Linked DNA regions of Diceros bicornis minor. The protein of the gene in region 2 purifies or fractionates together with the protein of the main gene of each other region. This does not show direct contact. Links are inferred from orthologs where the notes say so. Each region holds a gene or a part of one and is shown on either strand. Other genes may lie near its edges. The genes, in order: CNOT10, RC3H1, SERBP1 and YBX3.

What was found.
Region 1: the proteins of RC3H1 (region 2) and CNOT10 purify together in Homo sapiens (affinity purification with mass spectrometry, with the first as the bait; 3 studies listed by BioGRID). This does not show direct contact. The link is inferred for Diceros bicornis minor from reciprocal best matches to the Homo sapiens genes RC3H1 and CNOT10.
Region 3: the proteins of RC3H1 (region 2) and SERBP1 purify together in Homo sapiens (affinity purification with mass spectrometry, with the first as the bait; 3 studies listed by BioGRID). This does not show direct contact. The link is inferred for Diceros bicornis minor from reciprocal best matches to the Homo sapiens genes RC3H1 and SERBP1.
Region 4: the proteins of RC3H1 (region 2) and YBX3 purify together in Homo sapiens (affinity purification with mass spectrometry, with the first as the bait; 3 studies listed by BioGRID). This does not show direct contact. The link is inferred for Diceros bicornis minor from reciprocal best matches to the Homo sapiens genes RC3H1 and YBX3.

Annotation. Positions count from the first base shown.
Region 1 is NC_080741.1:36,557,276-36,565,250, reverse strand, and holds the start of CNOT10 (CCR4-NOT transcription complex subunit 10), read right to left. Parts: upstream 3,234-7,975; 5' UTR 3,219-3,233; coding exon 3,017-3,218; intron 1-3,016. UniProt on the Homo sapiens protein: Component of the CCR4-NOT complex which is one of the major cellular mRNA deadenylases and is linked to various cellular processes including bulk mRNA degradation, miRNA-mediated repression, translational repression during translational initiation and general transcription regulation.
Region 2 is NC_080743.1:92,299,016-92,306,723, reverse strand, and holds the start of RC3H1 (roquin-1), read right to left. Parts: upstream 3,181-7,708; 5' UTR 3,095-3,180; intron 1-3,094. UniProt on the Homo sapiens protein: Post-transcriptional repressor of mRNAs containing a conserved stem loop motif, called constitutive decay element (CDE), which is often located in the 3'-UTR, as in HMGXB3, ICOS, IER3, NFKBID, NFKBIZ, PPP1R10, TNF, TNFRSF4 and in many more mRNAs.
Region 3 is NC_080743.1:6,260,598-6,268,483, reverse strand, and holds the start of SERBP1 (SERPINE1 mRNA-binding protein 1), read left to right. Parts: upstream 1-4,744; 5' UTR 4,745-4,831; coding exon 4,832-5,144; intron 5,145-7,886. UniProt on the Homo sapiens protein: Ribosome-binding protein that promotes ribosome hibernation, a process during which ribosomes are stabilized in an inactive state and preserved from proteasomal degradation.
Region 4 is NC_080756.1:50,253,908-50,261,391, forward strand, and holds the start of YBX3 (Y-box-binding protein 3), read left to right. Parts: upstream 1-4,182; 5' UTR 4,183-4,426; coding exon 4,427-4,676; intron 4,677-7,484. UniProt on the Homo sapiens protein: Binds to the GM-CSF promoter. Seems to act as a repressor. Also binds to full-length mRNA and to short RNA sequences containing the consensus site 5'-UCCAUCA-3'. May have a role in translation repression.

The DNA.
Region 1 (7,975 bases), on a different chromosome or scaffold from region 2:
CTTTGATTTCTTCGTTGACCCAGTCATTGTTCAGTAGCATTTTGTTTCATCTCCACGTATTTGTGGCTTTTCTGATTTTCTTCCTGCAGTTGATTTCTAGTTTCATACCGCTGTGGTCAGAAAAGATGCTTGGTATTATTTCAGTCTTCTTAAATTTATGGAGACTTGTTTTGTGGCCTAATATGTGATCAATCCTGGAGAACGTTCTATGTGCATTTGAAAAGAACGTGTATTCTTCGGTTTTTGGATGGAATGCTCTGTATATATCTACTAGGTCCATCTGTTCTAGTGTGTCATTTAAGGCCAATGTTTCCTTATTGATCTTCTGTTTGGTGATCTATCTGTTGGTGTAAGTGGAGTGTTCAAGTCCCCTACTATTATCGTGTTACTGTCTATTTCTCTTTTTACGTCTGTTAATAATTGCTTTATATATTTAGGGGCACCTACATTGGATGCGTAGATATTTACGAGTGTTATATCCTCTTGTTGGATTGTTCCCTTGATCATTATGTAATGCCCTTGCCTCTTATTAAAGTTTTTGTTTTAAAGTCTATTTTGTCTGATATGAGTACTGCTACCCCAGCTTTCTTTTCATTGCCATTTGCATGGAGTATCTTTTTCCATCCCTTCACTTTCAGTTTGTGAGTGTCTTTAGGTCTGAAGTGTGCCTCTTGTATGCAGCATATATATGGGTCTTGTTGTTTTATCCAATCAGCCACCCTGTGCCTTTTAATTGGAGCATTTAGTCCATAGACGTTTAAAGTGGCTATTGATAAGTATGTACTTACTGCCATTTTTTAACTTTTTTTTTCTCAGTGTTTTAGTAGTCTTTCTCTGTTCCTTGCTCCTTCCATACAGAATTGATGGTCTCTTTAGTTTGACCTCTGTCTGAAAGCTCCACTCTTTAACTCCCTTCCTCCCTCATTTTATGTTTTTGATATCAAAAAACCTCTTTTTTGTGCATTTGTATCCATTACCCTCTTATCATGGAAATAGAGAATTTTTCCTATTTGTGGTCTTTTCTTTTCCCCTTAAATCAGTCCCTTTAACATTTCTTGTAGCACTGGTTTCTTGGTGACAAACTCCTTTAATTTTTGCTTGTCTGGGAAATTTTTGATCTCTCCTTCCATTTTGAATGATAACCTTGCTGGGTAGAGTATTCTTGGCTGTAAGTTTTTTCCTTTTAGCACTTTAAATATATCGTGCCACTCTCTTCTAGCCTGTAGGCTTTCTGTCGAGAAGTCAGCTGATAGCCTTATGGGGTTTCCTTTGTATGTAACTTGTCTTTCTCTTGCGGCTTTTAGGATTCTCTCTTTAATTCTGGACATTTTGATTATGATGTGCCTTGGTGTGGGCCTCTTTGGGTTTATCTTGATTGGGGCTCTCTGTGCTTCCTGTACCTGGATGTCTGTTTCCTTCCTTAGGTTAGGGAAGTTCTCATCTATTATTTCTTGAAATAGATTCTCTGCCCCTTTGTCTCGCTCTTCTCCTTCCGGGACACCTATAACACGGATGTTAGTGCGCTTGATGTTGTCCCATAGGTCCCTTAGACTGTCCTCACTCTTTTTAATTCTTTTCTCTTTTACCTGTTCAGCTTGGGTAATTTCTTCTAGTCTTTCGTCCAGCTCACAGATCCGTTCTTCTGTATCCTCTACTCTGCTTTTGAGTCCCTCTAGTGAATTTTTCATTTCCAGTATTGTATTCTTCATTTCTGATTGGTTCTTTTTTATATCTTCCATTTCTTTGTTGACATTCTCACTGAGTTCATCTGTTCTTCTCCCCAGATCAGTGAGCATCCTTAACACTCTTTGTTTGAACTCTCTGTCAGGTAGGTTGCTCATTTCTGTTTCACTTAGTTCCTTTTCTGAGGTTTTGTCCTGTTCCCTTACTTGGAATGTATACCTTTGCCTCCTCATTTTGCCTCTTTCCCTGTGCTTGTGTCTATGTATTAGGTATGACCAGTTACTTTAAAATGTGTAAAAACAGGACACCAGATTTCAGGACCCCAGAAAGCAAAGTATGGGTTTATACTGAAGCAGAACTCTCAATTCCATGTATATTATTCATCATAAAATTTTAACAATGAACATAATACTTTAAAAATTTTAGCAGAGACTGGGCCTTGGCATATTGGTTAAGTCTGGTGCATTCTGCTTCGGCGGCCCGGGTTCGTGGCTTTGGATCTCAGGTGCAGACCTACACCATTCATCAGCCATGCTGTGGCAGTGATCCACATACAAAGTAGAGGAAGACTGGCAGAGATGTTAGCTCAGGGCTAATCTTTGTCAAGCAAAAAGCGGAAGACTGGCAACAGATGTTAGCTCAGAGTGAATCTTCCTCACCAAAAAAAAAAAAATTTTAGGAAACCTAAAGTGTTTACAAAATTTATCTTCCCTCATAAGGAAGTACACTAAACTTAAACCAAATACCAAAAATTGTTAGTTTGCCATCAAGATATCTCCATAGCTTTTTTTAAAATATACCCTCTCTAGATTAGATGACATTCTTTAATGGGACTTCTGGGCCCAACTGTCAAACAGTGATTTAAATACAAGGTAGAGGGAAACACCCAACAATTCAGCAAGGCATTAAAGAGTTTAAGCTTCTCCTTTCCATTGTTATCCTCTAGGAACAGTAAAAGTCTCCTACAATCTTCCAGGAAAGGAGAGAAGCCAAGACAAATATAAATAAATAAATAAATAAATAAATAAATAAATAAATAAGCAAGCTAGACTCTAAGGCTGACAAGAGACTCTGAAGTTCCCTTTTCTATAGACATTTCAGAGAACTGAGCTCAATAAACAGCCTTTTACATGTTAACCAACCATTATTTTACCTATGTTCTTTTACATCAAGAGAAGCTTTAAAAAAAAAAAAACTCCAATGGGATTACTATTTTTATTTTCTTTATCTGTCTACACTTCTCAAGTTTTCTGCAAAGAATGGGTATTATTTTTGTAATCAGTTTTTAAAATGTTTTAAAAACATACATTTTTAGTAACTGCTGACTTCTTACCAGAAAGAGTCTGCACATAATCCCACAACGTGTCTTTATTTGTCCAAAAGTAGTCTCCATTGCCAATTGAAAGAGTATGTGAGCATTCATCCATAAGCTTGACTTTCCTTCTGCTCTGGCCTAATGAACATGACTGACCTTCTAGGCGTACAGAGCTCTTTGGTGCACAAACCTTGACACTCTTTAAGCTAAAAGGCTTCATTTCGAACCAAACAACTGCCTTTAGGTTTGAACTAAGTAGAAAAGAAACACACTGCTTTTTCAAAACTGAAAAACGTCAGTTAACCGAAAGCACAGACACATTCCAATATAGAATGTTAACAATGCAAATCTGATTGGAGGAAGGTCTTCCATATAAGCTACGCTTGTCAAAATATAGCTCCAACGACGTTCAAGAAAAGAAGTTTTTTCCAAAGAAAAAAGGAATGTTAAGGCCTAAGGAGATCTGCCACACTCACAAAACAGTACTAATGTCTTTATGAAGGAAAGTTTAAAAAAAGAAGGACGCCATTTCCAAGAAAAATAAAGCACCAAAGTCACCATATAGCTAAGGTTCACACACCTAAGCTTCACCCACATGGTTTTCTACCACTGAACAAGTTTATTTGACTTGATCAAAACCCTACATAAAATGGCTAATTTCTACACAGCTCAGAGAAATAACACGTGACCAGCAATGCTACAGACTTGAGCACCCTGTCCAGCACTACAAAAATAAAGGAAAAGAATATCAAAAATCAAGAATATCAGCATGCTTTGGGGAAGACAGGCAAAGCAGGACACTACCACTGCCCATGAGTATTTTTATTTTCATATCTGAGAGTAGTTTTTATGCATAGAAAAGAGATTTACTCTAGTTTTCAAATATTAATACTTGATTTATTGTTACAAATTCAAAAAGCCTAGATTTTCCTCAAACTTTTACATTCAACTTAGACATCTTATTCTATTTGGAGTTTTAATTTTAAAGGGCTGCAATGAATGTTTGATCTCATTTACAAAGTTAAACACCTTCAAACATATAATTTTAACTGCTTTAAATAATATATTTAATTTTAAGTACAACTGTTTGATCTAAAAAGACAAAATTTTCTGAGAACTTAAGTAATTTATAAATCTAAAAAATTAAACTGATGAAAATAGTGACTCAGGAACTCTTTAATGTCTATGCAATGATATCAATATAGCAAGCTTTTAACTTAAGTTCACAAGTATAAATCAATTATTCACTCAATTATACATTTCAAATTAGAATCAAAAGACCAATAAATTACTCTCAATTCTTAAACATTAAAAACACTTAAAATATCAAATGTGGGTCACTATTACATCAACTTTTTATTGTGAAAACTAGTAAATGAAAAGGATGAATTAAGTTTTAACACGCCTTTCTGGGAAGAATCACAGTTCATTCCCAGTTGATAAGGGACAGCTATTCTTTACAGAAACTAGCTAATAAACGTAGACAGTAATAGAACTAAGAGAAGTACCATTCTGCAACTCTCAAAGACATAACTGATTAAGGCAATGATCATCAATGTTGGAATGCTTACATAATGCCAATTACCCCACAGATTACTTCTAATTGCAAATGGAAAAAGATGTTCCTCTCACCACCTTAACAAACTGATCAAATTTAGCATCACTAATAGTGGACAAACTGACATTATGCACTTTTTATATAAAGTATACAGCAACAGCTACAAAGTATCTTGCAAATATGTTAAATCTAATCAGGCCCTTAGAAACAACTTTCAGTTCACAGAAAATACAGGAAATAAGGAACTAATTAAAGGATACAAGGAAGAAATAATCAGATGAATCCAGTGGGATATTCTACAAGAGAAGTGACTTAGTCTCTTCAAAAAAAAACCAGGTGACACTGGGAATTAAGAGACTCAAGAAACATAACAAAATACAATGTATGAACCTTGACTGGATCTCAGTTTGAAAAGCACAGCTTCCTTACAGCTTTAAATAACATTTTTGGGACAACTGGAGATATTCAATATAGTATAAAAATATTAATCTTCTGAAGTACAATAATGGTATTGTGGTTATAGGTGAATGTCCTAATTTTTAAGAAATGCATGGTGAAATATTTAGAGATAAAGTGTCATGATGTCTATAATTTATTTAGAAAAGCTGTAGCTAGAGACAGAGGAAGTAAATATGACAAAATGTAACAACTGTTGATCTAGGTGGTGGGTATATGGATATTCCTTTTATTTTTTCAATTTTTTGGATGTCTGAAATCATTTGCAATAAAAAGTTGAAAAAATATCAAATATGCATAGATTCCTAACCAGACCCTGAGAAAAGTGGATGGCAGGACAGTATTGCATAGTTTATTTCCTCATCTGCACATATACATTTTTAAGTCAATGTGAGCTTGGGTAGGCCTAGAAGAAGTCTAGAAGAACACACAATTCAGTACTGGTTACCTAGAGAGTGAGACTGGGTAGGGGTGATAGAGGACTTAATACTTTTTACCGTATACACTTAATAATAATAATCAGTTTTGGGTGTTTTAAATAAAATAAAAATAGCCTTGGCTTAAAACTTTCTCATTTGTACTTCCTACCATTTTTATGGTCATCCTGGCTCAAAATTTCAAAGCCATCTTTTTTTTTTTTTTTTGTGAGGAAGATCAGCCCTGAGCTAACATCCATGCTAATCCTCCTCTCTTTGCTGAGGAAGACCAGCTCTGAGCTAACATCTATTGCCAATCCTCCTCCTTTTTGTTTTTCCCCAAAACCCCAGTAGATAGTTGTATGTCATAGTTGCACATCCTTCTAGTTGCTGTATGTGGGATGCAGCCTCAGCATGGCCGGACAAGCGGTGGTTGGTGCGCGCCCGGGGTTCCGAACCCAGGCCACCAGTAGCGGAGCCCGCGCACTTAATCACTAAGCCACGGGGCTGGCCCCCAAAGCCATCTTTAAGTAACCCTCCCCTGATTTCATATTACTCATCAGGTCCTATCTTTCCCTTATTCATAATGTTATCAACCTTTTCCTATTAAGCCTACTACGGCCATGCTCATAGTCCAAATTCTCAGATAAATTCAAATCTAGGATTTTGTGTCCTAACTCCAGCCACTTTCTCCTTTCAAATAACCATAAAAAGTAAAGTCAAACAAATCATCCTAAAACATTGTTGGTACTTCCTTAGTCAAAAATGATACTGGTTTCACACGACTTTTATATTTTATACAAGGACATGAACCTTGTGAACCTTCCACTGCCCCTTCAATTTCTGTCTTTGGGTGGTGTTCCATCCACCCTGGGACATCCCTCCCTTTATGGGTTGCTTGAAATACAACTCAGGGTGTGAGAACTGCTGGCTGATCAGTCACTGAGAAGCCACACAACTCAGAAGCACAGGTAAATTAGTTCCCCATGGGGTGAAGCCTTGACGGTCTGGAAACAGGAAATGAGAGGAAGCTGGACAGATAAATAATCCCTTCTTTCTTTCTCATATGGACTACTCTGAAGTGTAGTTTTGCCTCGAAACCCTTTCAGAAAAGTCCCATACGCAAGTGACCTGCTATGTCTCTTAGCTCAAGGTGAAACAGTTGCCAGGGATGTAATGTACTGCATCTTCCTTTGCCTTACCTTCCTTCTCTCCCTCATTTTCACTACCCTGGGCTTGCAGCTCCCAAATAAAAAGTCAGCCACTTAATCGGGTTCTGCTTCCACAAGGATATGAGCTAAAAGGTACACATTACCTCAGCTGATGCTCACAAGCTACAGCCCTGTGAGGTAAATAAATTAGAAAGCTATTAGAAATAAATAAAAAACCAGTAGAATCCCCACTTTACAAATGAAGAAACTGAGGCTCAATTAAGAACTTTTCCCAAAGAGCAAGGCTTTCTGCTCACTTACTATACCTAAGCAGTCACAAATTCTGCCAATTTTACACCCTAAACATTTCTCACATCTGCCTCTCCTCTCCATTCTACCACTACTCTAAAGTAATACTAGCCAGCATTTCAAAAATCAGGGCCTGAGATGATCTCATTTAACTCTTTACCAACCCTGTGAGGTAGATACTATTATCATTCTCATTCTACACACAGGAAAGCTGAGGCTTAAGTGTTCTTAAAACTTGCCCAAGGTCACACCAATATCAAGTGGTACAGCTAGGATGAACCCAGCTGTCTGATTTCAAACCTCATGCTCCTAACTCTTCATCAATTCTCATCTAGCTCAGTTAAAACATAAATCAGATCACATCATGCCCTTGTTGAAACCTCTGTGGCTTCCCACTAGAATGAATTCAAACTTCTTCCTCGGTCTACAAGGCCTGACACAAGCTGGCCCCGGCCACAACTCTGACTTCATCTCTTGCCACGCTTCCTTTGCTCACTAGCAATAAACATGTACTGAGTGCCTCCTGTATGCCAGCCATTGCTCTAGGTGCTGGAGATAGAGCATGACTAAGAAAGGCAGAAGTGCCTTTCCTCAAGGCACTTACATTCAAGGAGTCTTCTTGCTGTCTTTAAACATTTTCCAAGGGGTCTGTATACTTGTTGTTCCTCCCACCTGGCTCATTCTTCCCCCACATGGCAGGTTCTTTATCTTTAGCGTCTCTGTTCAAATGTCACCTCTAAGAAAACCCTTCCTTCTCTAACCAATCTATTCAAAGTAGGGTCCTTGCTCCCAGTTATCCTCTGTCCTCTTCCTCATTTTTCTTTTCTTCACAATATTTATCACAACTTGAAATCATAATTATTTGTCTTTTTTTGCTGAGGAAAATTCACCCTGAGCTAATATCTGCTGCCAATCTTTCTCTTTTTGTATATGAGCCACCGCCACAGCATGGCCACTGACAGACAAGTGGTGTAGGTCCACACCGGGGAACCAAACCAGGCCGCCGAACCAGAATGTGCCCAACTTAACCACTAGGCCACCAGGGTTGGCCCATAATTATTTCCTATTTTGTTTATACGTTTATCTG
Region 2 (7,708 bases):
CAATAGTAGGAAAAGTGGTATTCTGCCTTTAATGGGATAAATTCAATCACTATGACAGATAGTGTGTTTATATTATTTGTAAATAATATATCACACAGCTTCCTAAATTCTGAGCAGGGAGGAGCTCTTTTTAGTTGCTAACACCCTCCTGCTACTCAGATTTCAGCTTCTTTTTAGAAGACCTATTGATGTCTTTCTATTGACTGGAATTTACTCCCTTTGAAGTGGGCTAAATCTGTAACCTTCTCTTCAACCTGCTAAACAGTACCTCCAGTCCTCCAAAGAGCAAATTTCTAGCTACCACAGAGGGGTTAGGTTAGCATGTGCTAATCTAAAGTCTATCTCTTGGATAGCCTTTCCCTCCTCAAATAGCCAGGCCTCAGTCCCCTGCTAGAAAAAACAGACTAAGCTGTTCCTCCTGCTTTTCCTCCTCCTCCCTTCTCCTCACTCCTAGGGAACCTTCCACAACAGAAGGTTTTAGCGGCTGTTGCTAGGCAAACATGCCAACTTCCCTGTTTAGGTGAAGCAAGTAACCCAACCTCCATTACAAGCAACCTAGATAATATAATTTCTTTGAACTATTTATAGTTGTACCTCAGTTGGTAAAGCCCCTTCAAGGTTTCCTTATAAAATATGATTTTTAAGTTACATTCATTTTTATTTCATCAATATTTCAGTTAAAAATAAGTTCAAAATGGAGGGGCTTCCCAAAATTCATTTTAATAATATAATTAAAAAGAAAAATTTGGCAGAAAAAGAAGAGCAGCTTTGAAAAAAACACCTAAGTGTTTACATAAAAACTAATCTATGAGAAGTCATTTATATGCTTTGAACTCCCCAATTTGAGTAGACCTATAAGATACAGAGAATAATTTGTCTCTTGAGACTGCATCTATTTTTTCCCTGATTTTTCTGTTTAAAATTGTTTGCTATTGTTATTGATACATGATATTAACATTTTTCAGGGTGTTGAGAGTTAATATAAATAAGATCAAATAAGACATTTGAAATTTAAATTTTAGATATGTATATATTTAAACTTCTAAACTCTTAAAATAGTATAATTTGTTTTAATTCCGTGAAATTTGTATTAATCCAGTGAAACAGTGTTTGAGAATATCCTGAGGTAAGATACATTAAGAATGAATTACTAAAGACAAACAGCTTAAATGTTTTATAGTCATTTGTGCTTAGAAATCACTATTTTGTAGCTTTAACACAATTTAAACAATTTAGTTTTTTTTTGTATTTTATTATTCAATTCTAATATGGAATACCTAAAAATTTAAACTCTTGCCCCAGCCTCCACCACTGATATACTGTGAAAATTAAATGAGTCATTTCACATAAAGGACTTAGAACAGTGCATGGCCCATAGTAAGTACTCGAAGGATTTTTTAAAATCCATTTTATATATGTCATTATAGTCTTTAGTTTCTTGATCAGTCAGATGAGGATAAGAAGTCATCAAATACGTTTTTGCTCTTAGCATGAACTCTAAAAAAATATTGATGCTGTTTTTTAGATGACACACAAATCAGTTAAAATAATTACTTATCAATTTTTTCAATGTATTTTCTGATTTTCTTTTTTTTTTTGAGACTAATCTATGTTTTTTAGGTTATACTAAGTAATTTTTAAGCTGCCGTATGCTTAAATATTGCTCTAGAATGTGCATACATTTGTCAACCTAAAGCATCGTTTGTTATATTAAGGCTAGAAAAGACCTTAGATACCAATCCACTTATTTCAACAAATGAAACAGAGACTAAGAAAGGTTGGACAGATCGCATATCTACCCCACTCCGTGTTTATAGATAAACATCATGCTGTTGAGGAAGGAGTTATCGAGCAGGAAGGGCTGGGGTGGGAGGAGAAAATACAAAGATGAATGAATCATGTGTCCCTTCCTTAAAGAAATTTAACAGTCTAGTAGGAGGATTACAATAAGATGTGCACATAAACAACTAGAATATAAAGTAGCTTGGTGATTATTGCATAGTAAACATAAGGATCTATGAAAGTTAAAAGGAAGAAATAGTAGGAATCTTCATTCTAATGTCACAGCACCTACCTTTTGACAGGTGGCAATACTATGTGTGATATTAGATATGTACCCAGAGGCAAAGAAGTACAATCAGCTCTCAATTCAGGGCAGGGTGGGGATGAGGAAGGGTAAGGAATGGGAAATTGGAGGGTATGAGAATAGAGTTTGGATTAACTAAAAAACCTGGTTAAAGTACAACTGGGACCTGAGACCTCTCCTGTGTAAATCATCCATGTAGGAAGAGGGAATAACATCCTCAAACGTGAACATATGCACAAAATAGGGAGTACTGGAGCTGACTCACTTGGATTTTCTGAACTGCTTTAGATAAAGTAAAGGTGGAAGGCCAATTGAATCCTCTCCATGTTTCCCACCTTCCCCTCTCCCTATACGTAGATTCTCCATAAACTACTCCCTTCCCAGCCCACACTCCTATTACCAATGTTCATTAAGATAAATCTCTAGAAAATAACTAAGAAACAGAGAAAGATGTCCCAAGCAATTACACTGAGGAAATATGAGGAAACCAATTGTTTCTGACCTACCCTTCACATTTATAGTCCAGTCCCAAACCAGGCCCAAGTCAGCATCTGCAAACTAGGCCTAAGGGGTAACAATGCAAAGTAATCATGACAGATATAACCCAAATTCTGGGATTTCTGGAGCTAGGTCCCTGTAGACTTGATTCCAAGAGGGCTAAATAAAATGATGTTTCTGGGTCCTACCTGAAATTGCTTCTGAACTGACCTACCTTCCATGAAGGCCTTGAGCCCAATATTGAGCATCTCTGAACTTCAACTGACCTCCTGAGACTTATTCCAGGGTTATAGTAAACAGAAGGCCTTTATGAAAGAGACATCAGACACTTTCAGCAAACAGGCCCATTCTAGGCAGTACTTTAAACAGTGTCATGAGAGAAGGCAGCTCCACTTTTCACTTGGCAAAACTCACCAGAATATTGTTGGTTTTCATTATTGTATTAGCTTGCTAAGGCTGCTCTAACAAATATCACAGAGTGGGTGGCTTAAACAACAGAAATTTTCTCACAGTGCTGGTGGCTAGAAGTCCAGGGTCAAGGTGTCAGCAGATTTGCTTTCTTCTAAGGGGTCTCTCCTTGGCTTGCAGATGGCCATCTTCTTCTCCCTCTGTCTTCACATGGCCTTCACTCTGTGTCTGTCTGTGTCCTAATCTCTTCTTATAAGGACACCAGGCATATTGGATTAGGGCCCACCCATATGACCTCATTTTACCTTAATTACCTCTATCTCCAAATGCAGTCACATTCTAAAGTACTGGGGGTTAGGACTGTAACGTGAATTTGGGAGGAGGGGACACAATTCAGCCCATAACAATAATAAATGCTCACTTTAAGAATATCATACTTATGAATAAAAGGCACCTTTGTGAAGGTACAAATTTAAATCTACCTGGTTAAACCTGAAGTTTTTCTTTTTCTAATTACTCTTTGCATCATAAAATATTAATGCTTTGGGGGTATAAATTAGCAACAACATATAGGATACTAGAATAAAAAAACACTGATTACCAAAATTATCTGAGTCATACCACAATGAGTTACCAGAAAACAGATACCAGACCGTGAATAGACTCAAGATTAATGTGAAAGGATTAACCTTTGTTTATATAGCTAATGATTTGAACCTCATTTAGAGCTCTGTCTGTCTAAATAAGCAATTGTAGATATATTGAAGTCAAATACATTTTGTAACCAAATGATATTCTCTAGCACAAATGTATGTTCAATATCTCCGGGCAATATTAGGTTTCTCATATCATGAGTAGCTGGTTAAGAAAAAGTTGGACATTCATGTATAAATCATTCAAGAAACCAGAATTTGAAAGGTGTGCTTTAAGCAAGATGGAGCAGAAACTTCTTTTTGCTCCATGCTTTAATTTCTAGGATCTGGACTTGGGGGAGTCTTTGGAGTTCTTTATGATGTTCCAAGAGGTTAGTTTAGGGATGGAAGAGGAGCTCTGCTACTTGGAGGCAGGTCAGGAACCAGATAGGAAGATGTCGCTATGGTAAACTCCTCATTGAAGACAAATATCCAGCTTCATATTACTCCATGAGTTTATTTCCCTTTTGTTATTCTCTAAGTTTGAATAAAGTCCTATGTGAATGTTCCAGTCTTTTCTCAGCTGTGCTACCTTCTATCAATGGGAGAGTTCTGCAACTGTACTTAGGCCACTCATTCTCATGCAGGGTGGTGTAGCATTGGTAGTGGGAAATACCTACAACTCCCCCAGAGGAAAAGCAAATCTTAAGGGATAAGAGACAGAGCCCTTCTCCATCTGGATATTTTTCTTCTGTTGCCAATCTTGGACAGGCAGAAAGACCTAGTACAAACCCTTGCTCTACCACTTATTAGCTGTGTAAGCTTGCACGAGGTAACTTTAGAAAGCTTCAATTTTCTTTACTATAAAATAAGGATTGTAAAATGTATCTAAACTGGTTTTTATGGAGATTAAAATGAGAAAATACATTTAGAGCATCTAGTACAATGCCTGACGTCTATTAGCCATTCAATAAATGAGAGTTATTAAAATTATACTAGGTACTGTGTGTTGCATTAGGCTGGTGATTCTCAATTTTGCTGTGAACTTTTAAAAGCTGTATATCTCCACCTCTGACCCTAGAGATTCTGATTTGGGGTGTTGGTGTGGGGCTAGGGATCTTTTCTTTTTTTGGATTTTACAGGGGATCCCATCCTCTCATCCAAGGTGAGAACTACTGACGTAGATCAACAGTCAGCAAGCTTTTTTGGTAAATGACCACATAGTAAATATTTTAGGCTTTGCAGGCTATACGGTCTCTGTCACAACTACTCAACTCTGTCATCGTAGCATGAGAGCAGCTATAGACAATATGTAAACAAATGACCATGACTATGCTCCAATAAAACTTTATTTACAAAAACAGACAAAAAGAGATGGTGGCGGGCTGGATTTGGCCTCCAACTATTATTTGTCAACCCTGTCTCATATGAAGAGAGATTTTATTTGCTATAGCCAGGGAAAGTATTTTATTATTATTATGTTCAAAAGCAGCATTAAAAGCTTTACGTGTAATGACCAATGTTTGGTGTTAAACACAATTAATTAAACAGACAGGACTTCTGCCTTCCAAGGAATTAGTAATCTAAAACAACAGCACAGACATAATATTTATAAGTAATCCTGTATAAGTAATTGTCATATAAACATATGACTATACAAGACTAAATGTGAAACTGAGTTCAGAGGTGGGCAGAGTTTCCTAATGCTCTTGATTTACAAATATCACATAAAATAAAAGTAACCCAAGGGCTCATTCAGGAACCAATGTAAGGAGGAGAACAAGGCCCCAGACCAGCTCCCTTTTTTCAGCAGGAGGCTATAAGGGAGCATCTTTTTTTTTTAACAACTTCAAGTTCTTTTTTATTTATTTATTTATTGGATAAATTTGACATGTACATTGTGTAAATTTAAGGTATACATCAGTTTAGGGAGCATCTTTTAAAAGGGGTCCTTTAAATAGGACTTCATGGCTGTCTACATGGCTGAATTTGCCTTCTCTCTTATAATTTCTTCGTTAAAATACATTACTGTCAGATTTATCTTCTGAGGTTAGGGGCCATGTTATGGTTGCAGTTTAATGACACTTGGGACCATTTCCTTTATTTAACCTGGAACAAAGAAAAATGTTTCCCTTTCTCAATAGGAGTAGTAAGCTTAGAAGAAAAGTCACTGGATCAATTTGTGTGTTCGTGTGTGTATGTATGTATGGGTATGTTTAAATCAAGTGATTGGTAATTTAGGAACCTACTGCCTATGATCGTAGAAATGATACAATAGTAGCTGTTGGATAGGGCAAGATTCTCTTATATCTCCTCATATCCCTGAAAGATAGACATATGTAATGAATATTTATAATTTTTTGGCTGCCCGGCATCTTACCCTCCCCTCCTCACACTGTTTGGGAATTTTCCATTTGGGAATTTTTGTGGATGGCAGGATCTCTCCTGCCACTACAGGGGCCAGGAAGTCCAGATACTTGCCTTCTGCCTTCTGCCTTCCACCTTCTGCTCTCCCTCCTTCTGCCCCCACAATAATCCTAGGGTGTGGGAAAGTGATCTAAGCTTGGTGGATCAAATGCCTTCTTAGTTGGGACTTTGAATCTGAAGTGAGTTACACAGAATTAAGTAGAGTTCATCCTACTTGCACCTGTGATACCCAGAGTCTGATGGGACAATGGCAGCAATCCCTGGGATGGTGTCCAGCATCCTCTGGCAATGGCAGTGGTACCCTTACCAGGCAATTTCAGGACGGAATTTAGCTGTGGTTCTGGCTATCTAGCTTCCCTCAATTCCTTTCCTTAACATCAAACTGTGAGCCACTCAATATTCTTCCAGAAAATTCCATTTCTGCTTAAATTAGTCTATGAGATGGTGTAACAAGTAGGAAATCAAGAGATTGCAGAAATATTCCAGTTTCCCATTTTTCATATCGTTGTCTTTTGCCCAATCTAATGGAGTTATCCATATTTTTTCTTTCCTTGGGCCCTGATTTTTAGGACCGTAGTCATTAGAGTCTCAAAACTTAAGATCTATTTCACTTCTGTTAACTCAGTTCATTTGACTATTCCCAAATAATAAGCACTCCTCTCAAGCTTTTGATTTGAATTTTTCACTCATTCTGCCAAGAATGTTTAGTGTCTACATTAAAAACTAATATTGCACAGATTTCTCAAGGGGAAAAGCTCCATGTTAATCTCTCTCTTAGCTAAAAAGTATTACAAATGCAAAGTGTTTTTTTTTCTTGAATTCCTTTTGCTAACAAGAACTTTCCGAATCACGCATCTCATTTGGGGCAATCAAAGCCTTCCTCGCTAAAATTACATGGAAAAAGGATTCTTTTTAAAATTTTTGCCAAAATATTTCAGCTACCACAATTGAAGGGTTCATTTATGGTTCTTTGTTGCAGAGATGTGTAACTTTGTTTCAGCAACATCTAATCAAGTCTCAGATGTTCTCAACTGATGATATAAAAGTCACAGAACAAAATTAATTTGCATCCACTTTAGCACAAACAATCACAACAAATATTTGATAACCTGTTGTGTGCCTGTCACTGTGCTATGGTGATACAGCAGGGAACAAGACAGATTCTCTTCCTGGGGAGCTTATAGTTTAGGAGAGAAGATAGAATACTTATAAATAGTTAAATAACCACAATTTTGAAGGTGAGAATTGACCTAGTCTGAGTTGAGCAGAGAAGACTTCCTCAAGAAAGTGACATTTAAGCTGAAAGCTACGGGATGAGTAGAAATTAGCTAGACCGAGAGAGAGCAAACGTTTCAGGCAGAAAGAACAGCATATGTAGCTGCACCGAGGAGGGAAGAAGTGTGGTGCGTTTAGGGAACTAACAGAAATCCAGTTTGGCTGGAGAAAGCACAGAGATTCAGAGGGAGCCTAGCAAAGAAGATGCTGCAGAGATAGGCGGGTGGCATTGGAAGCCAAAGTAGGAATTTTGAACTTTATTTTAAGATAGGCTCACCAGATAAAATACAGGAGGTTGAATTAAACGTATAGTTCTGATACATACTTGGAATTTATATTTCAGATAAACAATATTTTAGTACAAGTATGTCCCAAATATTGC
Region 3 (7,886 bases), about 86 Mb from region 2:
ATAAAACATTTGCAAATCATATAACTGATAAGGCACTTGAATCTAGAATATATGAAGAATTCTTACAACTCAATAATAAAAAGATAAATATACTGTTAGAAAATAGCAAAGGATCGAAATAGACATTCTTCAAAGATATAAAAATGGCCAATAAAAATGCTCAACATAGGGGCCGGCCCGGTGGCTCAAGCGGTTAAGTGCGCGCGCTCCACTGCGGCGGCCCGGGGTTCGCTGGTTCGGATCCCGGGCGCGCACCCACGCACTGCTTCGGCAAGCCATGCTGTGGCGGCGTCCCATATAAAGTGGAGGAGGATGGGCACAGATGTTAGCCCAGGGCCGTCTTCCTCGGCAAAAAAAAAGAGGAGGATTGGCGGATGTTAGCACAGGGCTGATCTCCTCACAAAAAAAAAAATGCTCAACATCATTAGCCATTAGGGAAATACAAATCAAAACCATAATGAGATAGCACTTTACATCCACTAGGACAGCTATAATCAAAATGGCAGACAATAACAAGCATTAGTGAGGATGTGGAGAAATTAGAACCCTCATAATCGTTGGTGGGATTGTAAAATGGTGCAGCCTCTTTGGAAAATAGTTTGGCTCCTCAAAATGTTAAGCACTGAGTTACCATATGACCCAGCAATTCCATTCCTAGATAAATATCCAAGAGAAATGAAAACGTATGTCCATACCAGCCCTGTAAACAAATATTCATAACAGCATTATTCATAATAGCCAAAAAGCAGAAATAATCCAAATGTCCGCTAACTGGTAAATGGATAAATAAAATGTAGTGTATCTGTACAACAGAATATTACTCAGCCATGAAAAGGAATGAAGTACTTGATACATGCTACAACATGGATGAACCTAGAAAACAATATGCTAAGCGAAAGAAGCCAGTCACAAAAGACCACATATTATATTATTCCATTTATATGAAATGTCTAGAATAGGCAAATCTATGACACAGAAAGTAGATTAGTGGTGGCCTAGGGCTGGGGTTGGAGGGAATGAGGAGTGACTGTTAATGGGAATGGTCTTTTTGGGGTGATAAAAAATTTTTAAAATTAGATAGAGGCGATGGTTGCACAACTCTGTAAATATACTAAAAACCTTTAAATAGTACCCTTTAGATGGGTCAATTATATGGCATGTGAATTATATCTCAATAAAGCTTTTTTTTTTCCTCTAAGAGTTCAACGTAGAAAAAAAGGGAAGGGAAGTTTAAAATCAAGAGGATGAACCTTCAAAGTAAGGTTAAGGTGGCAAAATAGAGAGTGTAATATTTCTATTTTTAGCTTTGATAGTCTAACTTTAGCAAGAACCTCGACTTGTATATTACACCTAGCATTCTATCCTCAGACATAGAGGATTTGCCCTTTCCTACACAGGTACCAGTTTTATTGCTTTTGTTTTAAAAATACATTATATATTTAGAGTACAGTAAAAATTAGAGTCTCTTATTTACATTTATGAGGTGCCTGTATCCAGTGTCCCCAAAGTGTTATAAGGGAATAACAGTTTTCTCTTGCTACAGGTGGTAGCAGCGTAAGGATGAAGGACTTTGTTCCCTGTACCGTGTCGCTCACAAGTATGATAGCAGTGTGAGACCCAACTGCCTGGACTCTTTCAGGCAGTGTGAATTTGGGAGAGGCGCTCAACCTCTATTTCCCTATCTGTAAAAGGCGGGTACAGGTCGTAATACTGTTTACTTCATAAGGTTGCTCTGAGAATTAAAGGAAATAATGCATGTAAGCTACTTAGCACAGTGTCCAGTGCATAGTAAATGCTCAAATTGTAGTAGTTGTTAGTAATTATTATAATAATATAGCAGCAGTTAGTAACAGGGAATTGAGATGATTAAGAAATGGGTAAAAACAAGTTGTAATGTGGTTGAGAATTGAGTATTAGGATCCTAAAAGCAAGTGAGGGCTGGAAGGAGGTATAATATTCTGTTTCTCGGTTTCATTATCATTAGGCGGCGACTATATTGGATATTTAATTAAGATATTTGGATAGTTTTCAGCATTTACTGCTGGAAAATTCTTTAGAGAGCTTGCTATAGATAAGGCTGTGAAGTTGCATGAGTATTTTTCAGAGAACAATATGTGAGTCAAGTGTTGCCACAGACAGCTGATATTTTAGGCTACATTTCTAATCAGTGGTATCTTATAACTTGTCCCTTTACAACTCATGCCTTTAATTTGAATAAGAGTCTGCCAAGAAGTCTTTTTTCCTCCTCCCTTGAGGTTTATTCGGCCAAGATTTTTTCTATCAAGAGTAGCAGGAATTTTTAAATATTTTTAAAGACTATTTTAATTTCTTAGGGGAAAGAAAATACTAGTGAAAATAATTACTTATAAAATAATAATTGATTGTGAGACATAAAAGAATTACCATTTTGAGCTTTATTTGTGTACTTTAAAAATGGGCTTTAAAACTTTCCTGGATTAACCAAAATTCCAGGTAAGAAGAAACAGAGAGAGGGAAGTTGAAAGTGCTTACACGTTTTTTTCCCCCTTTCCCCAAATGTTTATTCATATTTTTAGGTTATAGTAATAGGTAAATTCTCTGAGGAGCGTTAGCGACCCTCAGAAATTCACAGCCATACAATTCCCCTATGTGTAGCTTACCTTTAAATATTCTCATTGTCCTAATGCTTGGTGGTCATAAAGATCTGCTTGAGGAAACCAGGGATCTGTACATAGGATAAAAATAACTAAGGACAGGCCTGTTCCACTCCCTAGACTGTGGTAGGAGTCGGGAAGTTACTGAGTCTGTTTGTGTTTCATTTTCCTCACCTTAAAAAGACAGTACTAATACCTTTCTCACAGAGCTGATGTGGGGTAACACATGCGAAGTGCATCAAACACATAGTGAAACATCAAGTTTTAGCTCTTCATATTGTTGTGGTGGCAGTGGCCCGAAAGAGCCAGGAAGGAGAGAACTGGCAGACTCACAAAAGTGCAGATGTTAACAGCCCCTGGTAAAGAGAAAGCCCCTGGTAAAGAGAAAGGGTTGGTTCAAGCATGAGATCTTCCAAACTGCACTTGAGCTATTTTCAAAGGGGCACCAAGAGCATGGCCCAAATCTCCCTGTCTTTCAAGTCTTGGGAAGATAAACAAGAGCCAGATGTAAGGGGGTGTGTGTGTGAGAGATGGGGGTGTGTGTGGCAGGAATGAGGCAACAGAGGAATAGGTGACTTTGAGGACTGGGGGCTGCATTTAGAAACAAGAAAACCACCAAGCTTGCTGCCACATGCCTGTAATATGACTCTTATTTCCCTGTGAAGGAATTGATTTAAAATCTTCTCAGAAGTTGATAATACTACATTCAGCCATGTTATATACACTGCCTGGCATGCAATAATATTTAAATCTTATTAAATATTGAAAATTGATTAATAATTGACTGACTCCTATCAGGAGGCAGAGTCTGGATGAAGGAGTTGATGTTAATAGTGTCACAGTGGAGTTAGAAGACCGTCAACTCCCGGCACTAGCACTAGCGCTTACGGAGGTGTGAACTTGGGAAGTCATTTCACTTCTGAAATGGTTTCATCACCTGCGAAAAGGGGAGACTACCTACCTAACAAGTTGTGGTTGAGATTAAGGTTATTTATAGCACCTGGAACATAGAGACACACTTTCTGTTATATTTTGTGTTAATGGAAAAAGGTTTAAAAATGATGACATATTGAAACACTTACGGTGTTACCAAATATGCTTGAATACGCATTGACACTCTATTACCTTAACGGGCTTTAATTTTCTCAACTAACTTCAATGCTTTTAGTAACGACAATTAATTCGACAATTAATATTTTCCTCCCCTCCACTGCCCCTCAGCACACTACACACTGAGATGCTATGAAGTGTTGTTTCTTGAGCACGTTTCAGTAACACCTAATCGTTGGCTTGCCGGACACTAACGGACAACTGGATTGACTCTAGAGAGCGCTTCTCCAAACAGCGCCTCTTGGAGGCTTGCCCAGGGTCTAGTGCTGCGGCGTCAGGAGCTAACATCAATTAGAGCGCCGGTCGCGACGGGCATCTCCCGCCGGGAAAGGCGCGCAGCTCTCCCTGCGATCGTCCACTGTCTTCTGCGTTAGCTCCGCTACCCGCGTTCACGTCCGCGCGAGCGGAGGCGTCTGCCGCCTCACGTTAAACAGAAGGGCCTCGACTCAGTACTGGGGATACAGGACGGCGACCCCAGCAACTGAGCCGCTAGGGACTTGGGACAGGTCGCCCCCGCCTTGGCGAGGCCGGGGCGGCCCCCCGACCCGAGCCCCGGAAGTTTGGGAGTCTCCAGTTGTCGGATCTGGGAGTCACCCTGACCTCCGGGGAGGTGGGGAAAGTTAGCCCCGGACCGGAGGCGAGTGAGTAAAAGCAAAGACAGAACTTTCGCGGGCAAAACCCGCCGTCACGTTTCCCTGTTTCCAGCGCAGCCCGAGACGCCGCGAGTTGAAGGGCGGCGAGAGCAGGTGGCAGGACTCCGCCCACCACCGCGCTTCCCCTCCCTCGGCTCGCGTGCTCCTCTCTCTCGGCGAGTCCTGCCTCTTGGGCGCGCGCGAAGAGTGGTCGCGCCCTGCATTCTGGGAACTGTAGTCCTGGCGCTGGGAGCCGCTTTGGGAGAAGCGACGCTGGCCTACATACCCCATGGTGCCCTGCGGCGCAGGCCGCTCCCGGATGTGTGCCTGGCGCCGGAAGAGAAGACGGCCCCCCTCTCTCGGCCCGGCCATCTTGTGGGAAGAGCTGAAGCAGGCGCTCTTGGCTCGGCGCGGCCCGCTGCAATCCGTGGAGGAACGCGCCGCCGAGCCACCATCATGCCTGGGCACTTACAGGAGGGCTTCGGCTGCGTGGTCACCAACCGATTCGACCAGTTATTTGACGACGAATCGGACCCTTTCGAGGTGTTGAAAGCAGCCGAGAACAAGAAAAAAGAAGCCGGCGGGGGCGGCGTTGGGGGCCCCGGGGCCAAGAGCGCAGCTCAGGCCGCAGCCCAGACCAACTCCAACGCGGCGGGCAAACAGCTGCGGAAGGAGTCCCAGAAAGACCGCAAGAACCCGCTGCCCGCCAGCGTCGGCGTGGTTGACAAGAAGGAGGAGACGCAGCCGCCCGTGGCGCTGAAGAAAGAAGGTAGAGCTGGGTCGGAGGCGGGGAGCCGGGCAGAGGGAGGGAGCGACGGGCTCGGGCCGCCGCGTGCTCCTGGAGCCCCGCGGCCCCGGAGACCTGCCGCCGATGCCTCACGTTCCCCGGCAGAAGCCCGGTCCTGCGAGGTGCGGGGAGCGCGGTGCCCGAGCGCGGCCCCGGGCCCGGGGTCGGGAGCTGGCCGCGGGCTGCAGCCTCGGTAGTGGCGGGGCGGGCGGCGCGGGGTGCACGGCCCGTGCTGCTCGGCGTGCTGCTGGGGTTGCAGGGGGTGTCTCCTGCCATCTTGTCCCCGAGGGCGCGGAGGACCCGGTGCAGAGCTGGGGTCGGAGGCACGCCTGACTCCTCCGTGTTCGGGGCTCAGTACGGTGGAGGAGGCTGCTGCTTTAGGGCCACACGTGCTGTATTGTCCCCTCGCCCCGTCACCTGTTAGAAGCTCAGTCACTCGCGGGGGGAGCTGAGCTGTCGGGGCGGAGGGAAATGCGGCTGCAGGTGGGGCGGGAGCGGGAATTCTGAACGAAGGCTGCGGTTGCAGGAAGCCGCCCTGAGGCTGGCGCTGGGTCGTGGCCCTTGTCCCGACCCCGCACTCAGTGTGCCCCGCGGGTGGCTGGGCTCGTGGGGGGCGTGCAGAGGCTGTCAGGACGCGCGGCGCCGCACGGCTCTGGAGCCTGCAGCTCCTCCTCCACGTGTGCGGGCAGCTCGGGCAGGATTTCAGTGGCGGGTAACTGTTGCTTCCAGGTCGCTGGGCGTCACAGGATTTCGTGAGCTTGAGTTTTGCGTTCTAACTCATTACGAGTTTGTCTTTGGTGGTGGAGGAAAAAGCAAAACCGTTGGGGGTAAGAAAGCATCCGTGACAAATAGCAAGGTGCAGGACCGAAGCTCTGAGTCCTTAAAGTTGCCTTTGTACGTTGAAAGTTGAAATTACCCTCTACTGCCACGTGCTCCTGAAAGGGCTTGTTTCTCATTAGCTTTAGTTCAATTCGGTAGCATTAAACTAATTTAAAAAATCAAAACAACTGTATTTAGGCTTTGGTTTAGGATTTTTTTTTTACATATAGAAGTTTTGTGAGGCTTGGAATGAAGAACCCAGGTGGTGAATAAAATAAAAGAATTCTTGTATTAAAAATACAGGTTGGAGGGAAGCACACGCTGGAGTCTTAGAAAGCATGTGTGTGTCACTTAGGCCGAATACCTGTTCAGTCAACTAAGCTTCATAGCAACCTGTAGTACAGTTGACTAAATCATTGCGTTTCTCTGTTTAGGAGCACTGGCTTGGGTGATTATTTAAACTATGCTCAACTTTACCTCCTTAATCACGTTAATCCAAAGAAAGCACATGAAAAAGTTGAGTCTGAAGTATAAATCTAAAATGTACCAGGTAGGTGTGTTCACACGTTTTAAGGTTCAAAGCATGAAGCATAGTTTAAATCCCTCAGTTGTTTTGATCATAAAGCCCACTTTTGAAATAAGCTTTTATTTAGAAACTAGTATCTTAAGTTCCAAAAATAGAGAATTGTCTCCAGTTTATAACCAGCACTGAGTTTGTCATTCAGTAGTTTTTCTTTGGGAAAACTTGCATAATAGCTATCAACATTTTTCTTAGATTAGCCTTTCACAGCACTCTTAACCTTAAATTGTGTAAAACATAGGCTTATAAATATAGGGAAAATGTTGCATGAAAAAGACTCATTTTGAGATCCTGCTACCTGTCAGTGGAAGTTCTGGGCATTGGGGAAGGAGAGACCTGTAAACCAAGTTCCTGCCTCTTGTGGGAAGGATTGTTACCCTGATCCTGTGCTCCGTGCCTTTGAATATAGGTCCTAGCACAACGCTGGACATAGCTTCGATGTGTATTTAATGTTTGTATGAAATAGTTGTGTAGCTTGTCTTTTGTTTATTGGGAGAACTTGAGAACCGACACCACACACTTGCACTGCGAGTGTAGATCAAGTTGTTTTTTTTTCCTAATATTAAAAGCCTGGAATCTGGTGAAAATCAAGTGAGCTTGGCGGAGTATGTGTAAATAATGTTGAGAGAAGACTGCATTTTTAAATGTCAATTATTGGATGAATTTATTTAGTAAGTTTTTTAGATTCTGTAACCCTAGTATTGAATATTGGGTGGGGAAGCAAGCCCTTGTTCATTTGGGTGTGTTTGGCTTGGATATCATCATTATAAGGACTGGTTCCATAGCTCCACCCAAATACACTGTACCTCTGACGAAATTTATTAAAATGCCTTGGCGTAAGATCTGCCATCTGTGGTCTGTCCTGAGAGTTTATGTGGAACTGACCTTAAAATTTCATTGAAGAGTTGATATTTACCATTTGATTCTAGTTACAAGCAACTGAACAATTGGGTGCATCCTCATGGTGTTCCACGTCTTAGAACCAGAGTGAATCAACTTAAGATCTTGTTGTAAAACCAATTCCTCAGCTGCTTTTTGACTGTCAGAAATGGTGGTTTGGCAATTACAGCATACCTGAAATTCTAGTCATGAATTTCAATCTACTTATCCTTAAGACTACTAATAATGCATATTGGTTGCTTTTGTGGGCCTCAAACACTAAGGAAAAAAGTAATAAAGGGGGAAATCAGTAAGGTTTCAGCCATCACTTAGTGCCACAAGTTTCTATTTCTTGTGTATTGCTTAAAAGGAGTCCGTGTGTGTGTGTGTGTGTGTGTGTGTGTGTTTGTGAAGTGTCTTTGAAAACAAAGATACTTGTAAGGGCA
Region 4 (7,484 bases), on a different chromosome or scaffold from region 2:
ACTTATCAGTGACACCATCAAATACAGTTATCCAGAATTTTGGAATTATGATTCATGCCAATTCTTTGGATATTATATGTCATAGGGAAGCTCAAGCAAGCCTAACAGGTAGCATCATCTTGATGAGTTACCACAGACTGATGTGGTCCAGATTGCAGGGCCAAGACTTTTTCACAATGGGCTTCTGGAGAATTATTCAGGCTAAATTCCTAGTTGTCTACAAGACTTGTACAAGTCAATATGGTAGCCACTAACCGCACTGAGCACTTTAAAGTGGCAAGTCCAAATAGAGATGTTCTATAAGTTTAAAATACACACCAGAGTTTGAAGACAGTACCAAAAGAAAAAGAAAAAAAGGAATATAAAATATATCATTAATAATTTTTTTATTGATTCAATGTTGAAACGATAATATATATTTTGGATATATTGGGTTAAGTAAAATGTATTAAAATTAATTTCCTCGGTTTCTTTTTACTTGTTTATTCTGGCTGCCAGAAATTTTAAAATTATATATGTGGCTCATATTTGGGGCTCAAATTATATTTCAATTGGACAGTGCTGGTCTATACCATAAGCTCCTTGACTACAGGGGCCGTTCTGGTCTTGATTTGCATGATATCCTTAGCACCTAATGTGAATAATCAATAAATATGTTGAATGCATTATTAGTGAATGCCAAACAGAGACTTATAATTAGGGTAACTTCTCCCCTGAACATTGCTGGTGACCATGAAAAACCTTTGCTCTCTTATTCCTCTACTTTTCTACTTTTTTATTCCAAACTGAACATTTCCCTTCTGCGTTGTTTTAGCATCCATTAGGTTCAGATTAATACTTCACTGTTTCCCAGCATTACCAGATACGCTAATATATCAATGCTTCCATGTCTTAAGGCTCTAGTCCTTTGAATGGTTTCAACTCTCCTTAATCTCCTTAGCCAGTTGCATTTTCTGCTTTAGGGTGATATGCTGGATAGTCTCTTATCAACTCAACATCATCCTTAGCCTCTTCAAAGGCAGGAACTACATTTCCCAGAATCTCCTTTCCTGTATGGTTCCAGGTTGGAACCTGTCAATGAGAGGCACTAGTTCAAGGTTTAGAAGGCAGAAGAGAGAATACCATTGTTTTCCAGAGTCAGTTACAGGAAGATGCGTGGGCAGATAGAGGTTCAAAGTTGCTTCCAGATAAACTTCTTGAGGAACTCCAGCATCTATGTTGCCAACCATAATAGCTAGTGTGGGGTGAACTCATGGTGAAGCTAAGGAAGTTTAAGATGAAGGGCTCTTTTCTCACATGAGCCCTTTCTAAGACTCTGGGTGTGCCTTCAGCAATTTTATGTTCAAAATTTTATTTGTTTTTTCTTGGAGAGAGCTCTCTAAATTGCATAAACTGTAAGTCTCACAATACCTGGCTCTACCCCTGAATGGTAGAGAGCTTCCCAGAGATCTTATGATTCCAGTGGCTTCAGGAGAGCTCCTGAGAACCATCGACTTTGGGGCTGGAGTCCGAGATCTTCAGTGAAGCCTCTCTTTCTCCCCTCCAGCTCTTCCAACAGTTGTGGAAGCTCTAACTCCCTTCATACTAAGAACAGTGTAGCTTTTATTTCCATGACCAAATTGGTCATTGCTTAAAAATGATTGCCATGAACAATTAGATTATGATTCTTTTTTTTCTTCCACTTAATCTCAAATTTAAGAAATGAGATTTTCTTACAATAGAAATGATAGTGAAAAAAATGATTTAACATCACAGGAAAAAAACCTCAGAGCAAGCTCCATTTTGACCAACATTGGATAATCATAATGTAGCACTTTATCTGCCTTATAGTGTGTGCTTAGTAAATAACTGCTAATGAGTGAGTGCATGAATTAATGAGTGAGTGAAGGAATGGAAGACTTTATTTGCATCTGTATCCAAGTTGCTCTGTACTCATATTATTAAAACATAGATCATGGTTGTTTTAATTAATTCTCTCTAGATTTATTTAGCACAATACCAAGGACTTGCAACTGCTTGCTGCTTTTTTTGGATGAAAATGATGAGTAGTTTTGGGAGCCATTCCAGCACAAAATTCTAGGAAATCCGAAGATACATCTGTAACTATTTTAGGGTCTTCCAGAGGTTGGAGATCACACCTGCTGTTATGAATTGTTTTCCAAGGGTGGATATACATATATATATATATATATATATATATATATATTTTTTTTTTTTTTTTTTTTTAAAGGGCTGGACTATTAGATTGGAGTTTGAAGAGTTCAAGTCCTCTTTTTTTTTCTTGGAATCCAATTCTGCATGATAAATAGCAATAATAATCATTTTGTTTGTTAAAGTCAATGGCCAATCCTCACCAAAATAAATCATGCTTATAATTTAATTGTAAGACTATAACCTTTAAAAATTAAGAAACAATTTAATCATGCTTCGAATTAGACCAGCATTTTTTAAACACACACATATAGTTAACATTACTGTACGCTCTGTATTGAAGTCAAACTAAAATATGAATGTAACATTTAGATGTTTGTAATTTTTAAAATATAGATGAATTACATGGAAAAGTCAAAAATTCTGTATTTTGCCATTTTTTTCTAAGAATTTCTTTTCTCTTTTTTTTTTTTTTTTTGCTGAGAAAGATTCACCCTGAGCTAACATCTGTTCCCAATCTTCCTTTTTTTTTCCCTCCCCAAAGCCCCAGTACATAGTTGTATATTCTAGCTGTAAGTCCTTCTAGCTCTTCTACATGAGGCATCACCATAGCATGGCTACTGACAGACAGGTGGTGTGGTTCTACCAGTGGAAACCAGGCATGGCCACCAAAGCGGAGCACCAAACTTTAACTACTAGGTTATCAGCACTGGCTCAGAATTTATTTTCTTTAATTTGTATTTTTCATGGATGGAATAAGAAAGTAATAAGACAGGATAGTTTCATAATTATTGATAATGAATGTGTTGATAAGTAATGGAGTTTGGAGAGGTCTTCTTGTTTGCTTGTTTTCATTGATAAACATTTCCTGTGTTCTAGCTCTATGCTAGGTACTGTGCTAACCAGGGCGGATACAATGATGAATTACACTTGATAGCTACCTTCTTGATGCAGTCACATAACAGACAATTCCAGGAAAAAAAATAGGTAAATGGTATAGTAGAATAGGTAATGAAAAAAAGGATCTTTTGTTAGACCAGACACTGCAGTTACATATAATAATCTCATCTACTTTCCATAGCACCTTTCAGAAACTCTCATAGACGAGGAAACCTACTCTGGGACGTAGTATTCCTAGCCCAACTTAACGAAGAGCAGCACTAGAATTTATACCTAGGTCTGTCTGGACCCTAGAGGCGAACACCAAATAGTCCTGTATTCCAGGAGTTCTTGGCTACCGGTCACAGTCCCTCTGGCCATGTGTTTAGCATAATCCAGTCCATTCTCTAAAGGCCATGTGGGCTCTTCAAATGGGAAAACGTTTATAGGGTGATCGTTTCTCTGTATTTCTCATTCCTGAGGCTAAGAGGGCTCCGTTGCTTAAGCCTTCACCAGCTGGCAGAGGCAATTGCAGCAGAAGGTAGGATGTGGATTTATTCGGGTTTGTTTCAGTATCAAATACATATTAACAGCTCATTATTTGCTGCTGTTAAATTGGTGTAAACTCTTTTTACATGAGTTCTCCGAGGTTTGGACCTCAATTCCTCATCTGTGGGTTATAGACTAAATAATCCGTAAACTATCTTTCAGGAGTAAGCCAAATAGTCGTAAGATCTTAACTGCTGTATCACAGTTTCTGGTGCTTCATACATGTTGAATGAATAAATACAAAGGATTTAAACACAAGTGTTTGGGAGGGAGAAGCGCAGCGAAATTTGGATGCCCTATTTTACCTCTCCTAAAGGTCAGTTTCTGATGTCAAGATGTCGTGAGGAGGGAGAGCCCCTCTGCCCCGCTCCAACAAAGGGACAGCAGCGCTAGCTCAGAAAACTCCAGATCACAATGCAAACCTCAGATGCACCCTTGCTTTCCCTGACTCGCCAACTCGGCCCCTGCGCCCCAGTCCCGGGCGGCCTGGTGGGTGGGAAAGGGCATCAGGCGCCTTTAAATGCTAATGAAGCCGATGCCCAACTCGGGAGCCAACTTTCTCCACCCTCTTCCCTCGCCCGCCCTTCCCTCCCGGGCCGGTGCGCCGCCTAGAAAAACTTGTGCGGGGCCATTTTTGGGGCAGTAAGATCGAGCGAGGAGCCCAAGAGCGAGCGCGCAGCCCCAGAGCTCGAGCCGCCTCCGCCGCGAGACCCACCTCGGCCGCCGCCTGCGCCGCGCGATCCGCGCCGGCCTCCCCGAGAGCGAGCCCCGGCCGCCGCGACCACCAGCCGCGCTAACCGCCGACCAACCGCCACCAAGGCGCCCGAGTGAGAGCAGACGAGGCGGCATGAGCGAGGCGGGCGAGGCCACCACCACCACCCTCCCGCAGGCTCCGGCGGAGGCGGCCCCCGCGGCCCCCCAGGACCCCGCGCCCAAGAGCCCGGTGGGCAGCGGCGCGCCCCAGGCCGCGGCCCCGGCGCCCGCCGCCCTGGTCGCAGGAAACCCCGGCGGGGACGCGGCCCCCGCCGCCACGGGCACCGCGGCCCCCGCCTCTTCGGCCCCCGCCGGCAGTGAGGACGCGGAGAAAAAAGTTCTCGGTGAGTCAGGCCTGGGAAGGTAGGGGCTGCTGCGAGCGGGGCGGGCTGCAGCCGGCCGCCGAGCGCGTGTGGGCAGCCCCCGCTGCATTTCCCACGGGGGCGGGCCAGCTGACAGTGCGGGGTCCCCGGGGACCTCGGGTCCCCGGCGCCGTGGCCGCAGCCCGCCCGTCCTGCAGGCGCTCCCAGGTGAGCGCGCGGCGCCCTGCGCTCCTCGCCGTCCGGGGCGCGTCCCGCCTGGGCCTGGGCCTGGCCCGGCAAGTTGGGGGTCTTAACTGTGGTCACTTAGGCAGGCAGTGTCGCACATTCCCTTGTAGAGAATGCCTCTGTCCCTCTGTCTGAAGGGGAAAGGAGCGGCAGTCTGGGAGAGGGGACCCAGGGGAGGGATGGATGTGGATGTAGGGGAGGGACAGACACGTGGGACAGGGACTTTGGAGTCCTTGGTTAGGATTTGGGTGAGGAGAGGATTTCTTTTGGGGACGAGTCAGGCCCAAAAGGAGACGGGGAGGGAAAGGTGGAAAGGCTTCTTGCTGGGAGGGCTCAGGTGTCTGTCCCTGACGCCCTTCCCACATGGGCATGGGAAAGACGCCATGCTTCTGTCTGCCACATGCCGGCAAAGAGGTGTTGCAATCCTCTCTGGGAAACTTGGGTCTCGGTCCCACGTCCTCCTCCCTCTCTGTATCCACTGCTGGCGCAGAGAAGCATTCAGTGTAGCAATCGCTACACGTTTTCTTCTCCCTAAACTGTGGGAACGCACTTGGTGGAGCAGCTGAAAAAACTTGGGAGTGTGGGTGTGACGTTTGTTCAAAACATCGTTATCTTGGGACTTGTAACTTAGGAAAGGAAACAGGAAGATGAGAAGTTCAGGTTTTGGAGGCAGAGCATTAGAAAGGGTTTCTGTGGTCGTTTGGGTTTGTCACATTTTTCAGCGGTCTCTCCTTAAGTAACGTCCTTTGTGAGGCCTTGAGGCTTACAAAGCAGGTGGGTGGTGAATAAGCTCTCTGAAGAATGTGTGTATCAGTTTTTCTCTTTTAAACAGGAAAGTTAAGAGAATGGTGCTGGATACTCCAGAGAAAGTCTCAGTATTTTGGGTGGGTTGTATTCCATCTCTCTGATCCTTACCTGCCCAAGTTTCTAGAAGGAAAATTGAGAGAATAATGTGAAGGAGGTTTAATACTATTCCATGTTCCCCACCTGGACAGGCCTGTTTTGTTTTTCCAGGGCTTTTACTCAGTTACTGCCAAATAATATGTTAGATGTAACCTGTGTGGGTTAAGAAACAATGTAGCCCTCATTTTGCTGGACTAAAAATCGCTTAAATCTACTCAGTATTTGTATTGCGATGTTGTTTCCAACAAGTGTTTCTTGGAACACTTCCATGCAAAATGCCTGATAGAGACAATTTTGGGTTATCCAGCATAGTGTTAACATATGCTCTTAGCAATAATTTATTTTTGTATAAAGGAAATTTTGCAGTTTTTCACTTGATCCTTTTACCCTTCTGGATCTAAACTAAACTTCTGGATTTTAAACTAAAGCAGATGTTCTTAAAGATGAAAGAAACAGATAAAGTTCATTTCCTCAACCACCAACTGTTATTAAGCCTCTACCACATCCCTGGTGATGAGTCTGGAGGTCTTTCATCTTTCCACAGTAACTCCGACTCTCAAAATGAAGGGCAGCCTTCTACATGACATTTCAACACTGTCTCTGTCCAGTGTGTTCTGCCATCTCCTTTCCTTTGCCAGACAAACACACGGGTGCCTAAAATGTGCCAGGCACAGGGCTGACTGAGATGGAATTCTGGTTTTGGATTCTCCCGTTACAAACTGTCTTGAACTTTCCCATAGGCCAGGGAAAGTAGTTTACCTGAGTGAAACAAAACTTTCCTTCTAATGAACATTGTGGAAGCCTTATGGTCTTCCTCTGTTCCCCTTTCCCCTGTTGTGTATGTGAAATGAGTTTGTGGTTTTAAAGCAGGAAGTGTGCATAAATGTGTTTGGCTATCTGAAGTCAATGGAAATATTTGTAGAATTAGGAAATTTTTTAAAACTACATTGGGGAGTAAAAATAACCTTCAGCCTGGATTGAAGTTAAACTTGAAAATCATTTTTCATCTTTTTTCCTGTTATATTAGATTTGCCTTTCTAATCAAGATTATTCCTTTGACAGTGCTAGACATTAACTGTATGAAAATGAGTTGAAAACAGTTCCTATCCTTGTATTTTCCTAGGTCATTAATTTTGGGGCATATGAAAGGAGGCGCAAAAAGCATGTCTTTTGAAATAATGTGTGACTTAAAAGCATATGATTTATCAAAAACAGGCCTCTTCTGTTGACATTTTAATCTAAAACATAAAATGTTTTTTCTCCTTTGCCCTGCTGCTCTAATTAGAGTGGCCTAGAAGTGAAGATTCCAGTGGTTTAATCTCTTGATTGGAGAGACCTTCCTTCCTTGGAAATAGAGCTGCAGATTGCTCAGTCAATGGTGGACTGAATGACTGTGGGGGCATAAAGAGTTGTTTGTTTGTTTTCTTTTTACAAAGAGAGCTAAAATACTTTCTGAAGCGTATCAGTCTAGCAAAACTCAGAAGTAAGCCTGCCCACAACAAAGCAATTCCTAATTACTATTTTAGTCTTGAATTTAAAAACTGAATCCTTACTGTTTATCCTTAGAAATTATAAACTTTGTGTCTCATAAAGAGGCAACATGGATTAATGTTAATTGTTACTTTCATTCTCTACTAAGCATTTTTTTAAGGTACTCTATTGTAGGATTTCCTGTTTCATTGAGTCTTGATCATTGCTTTA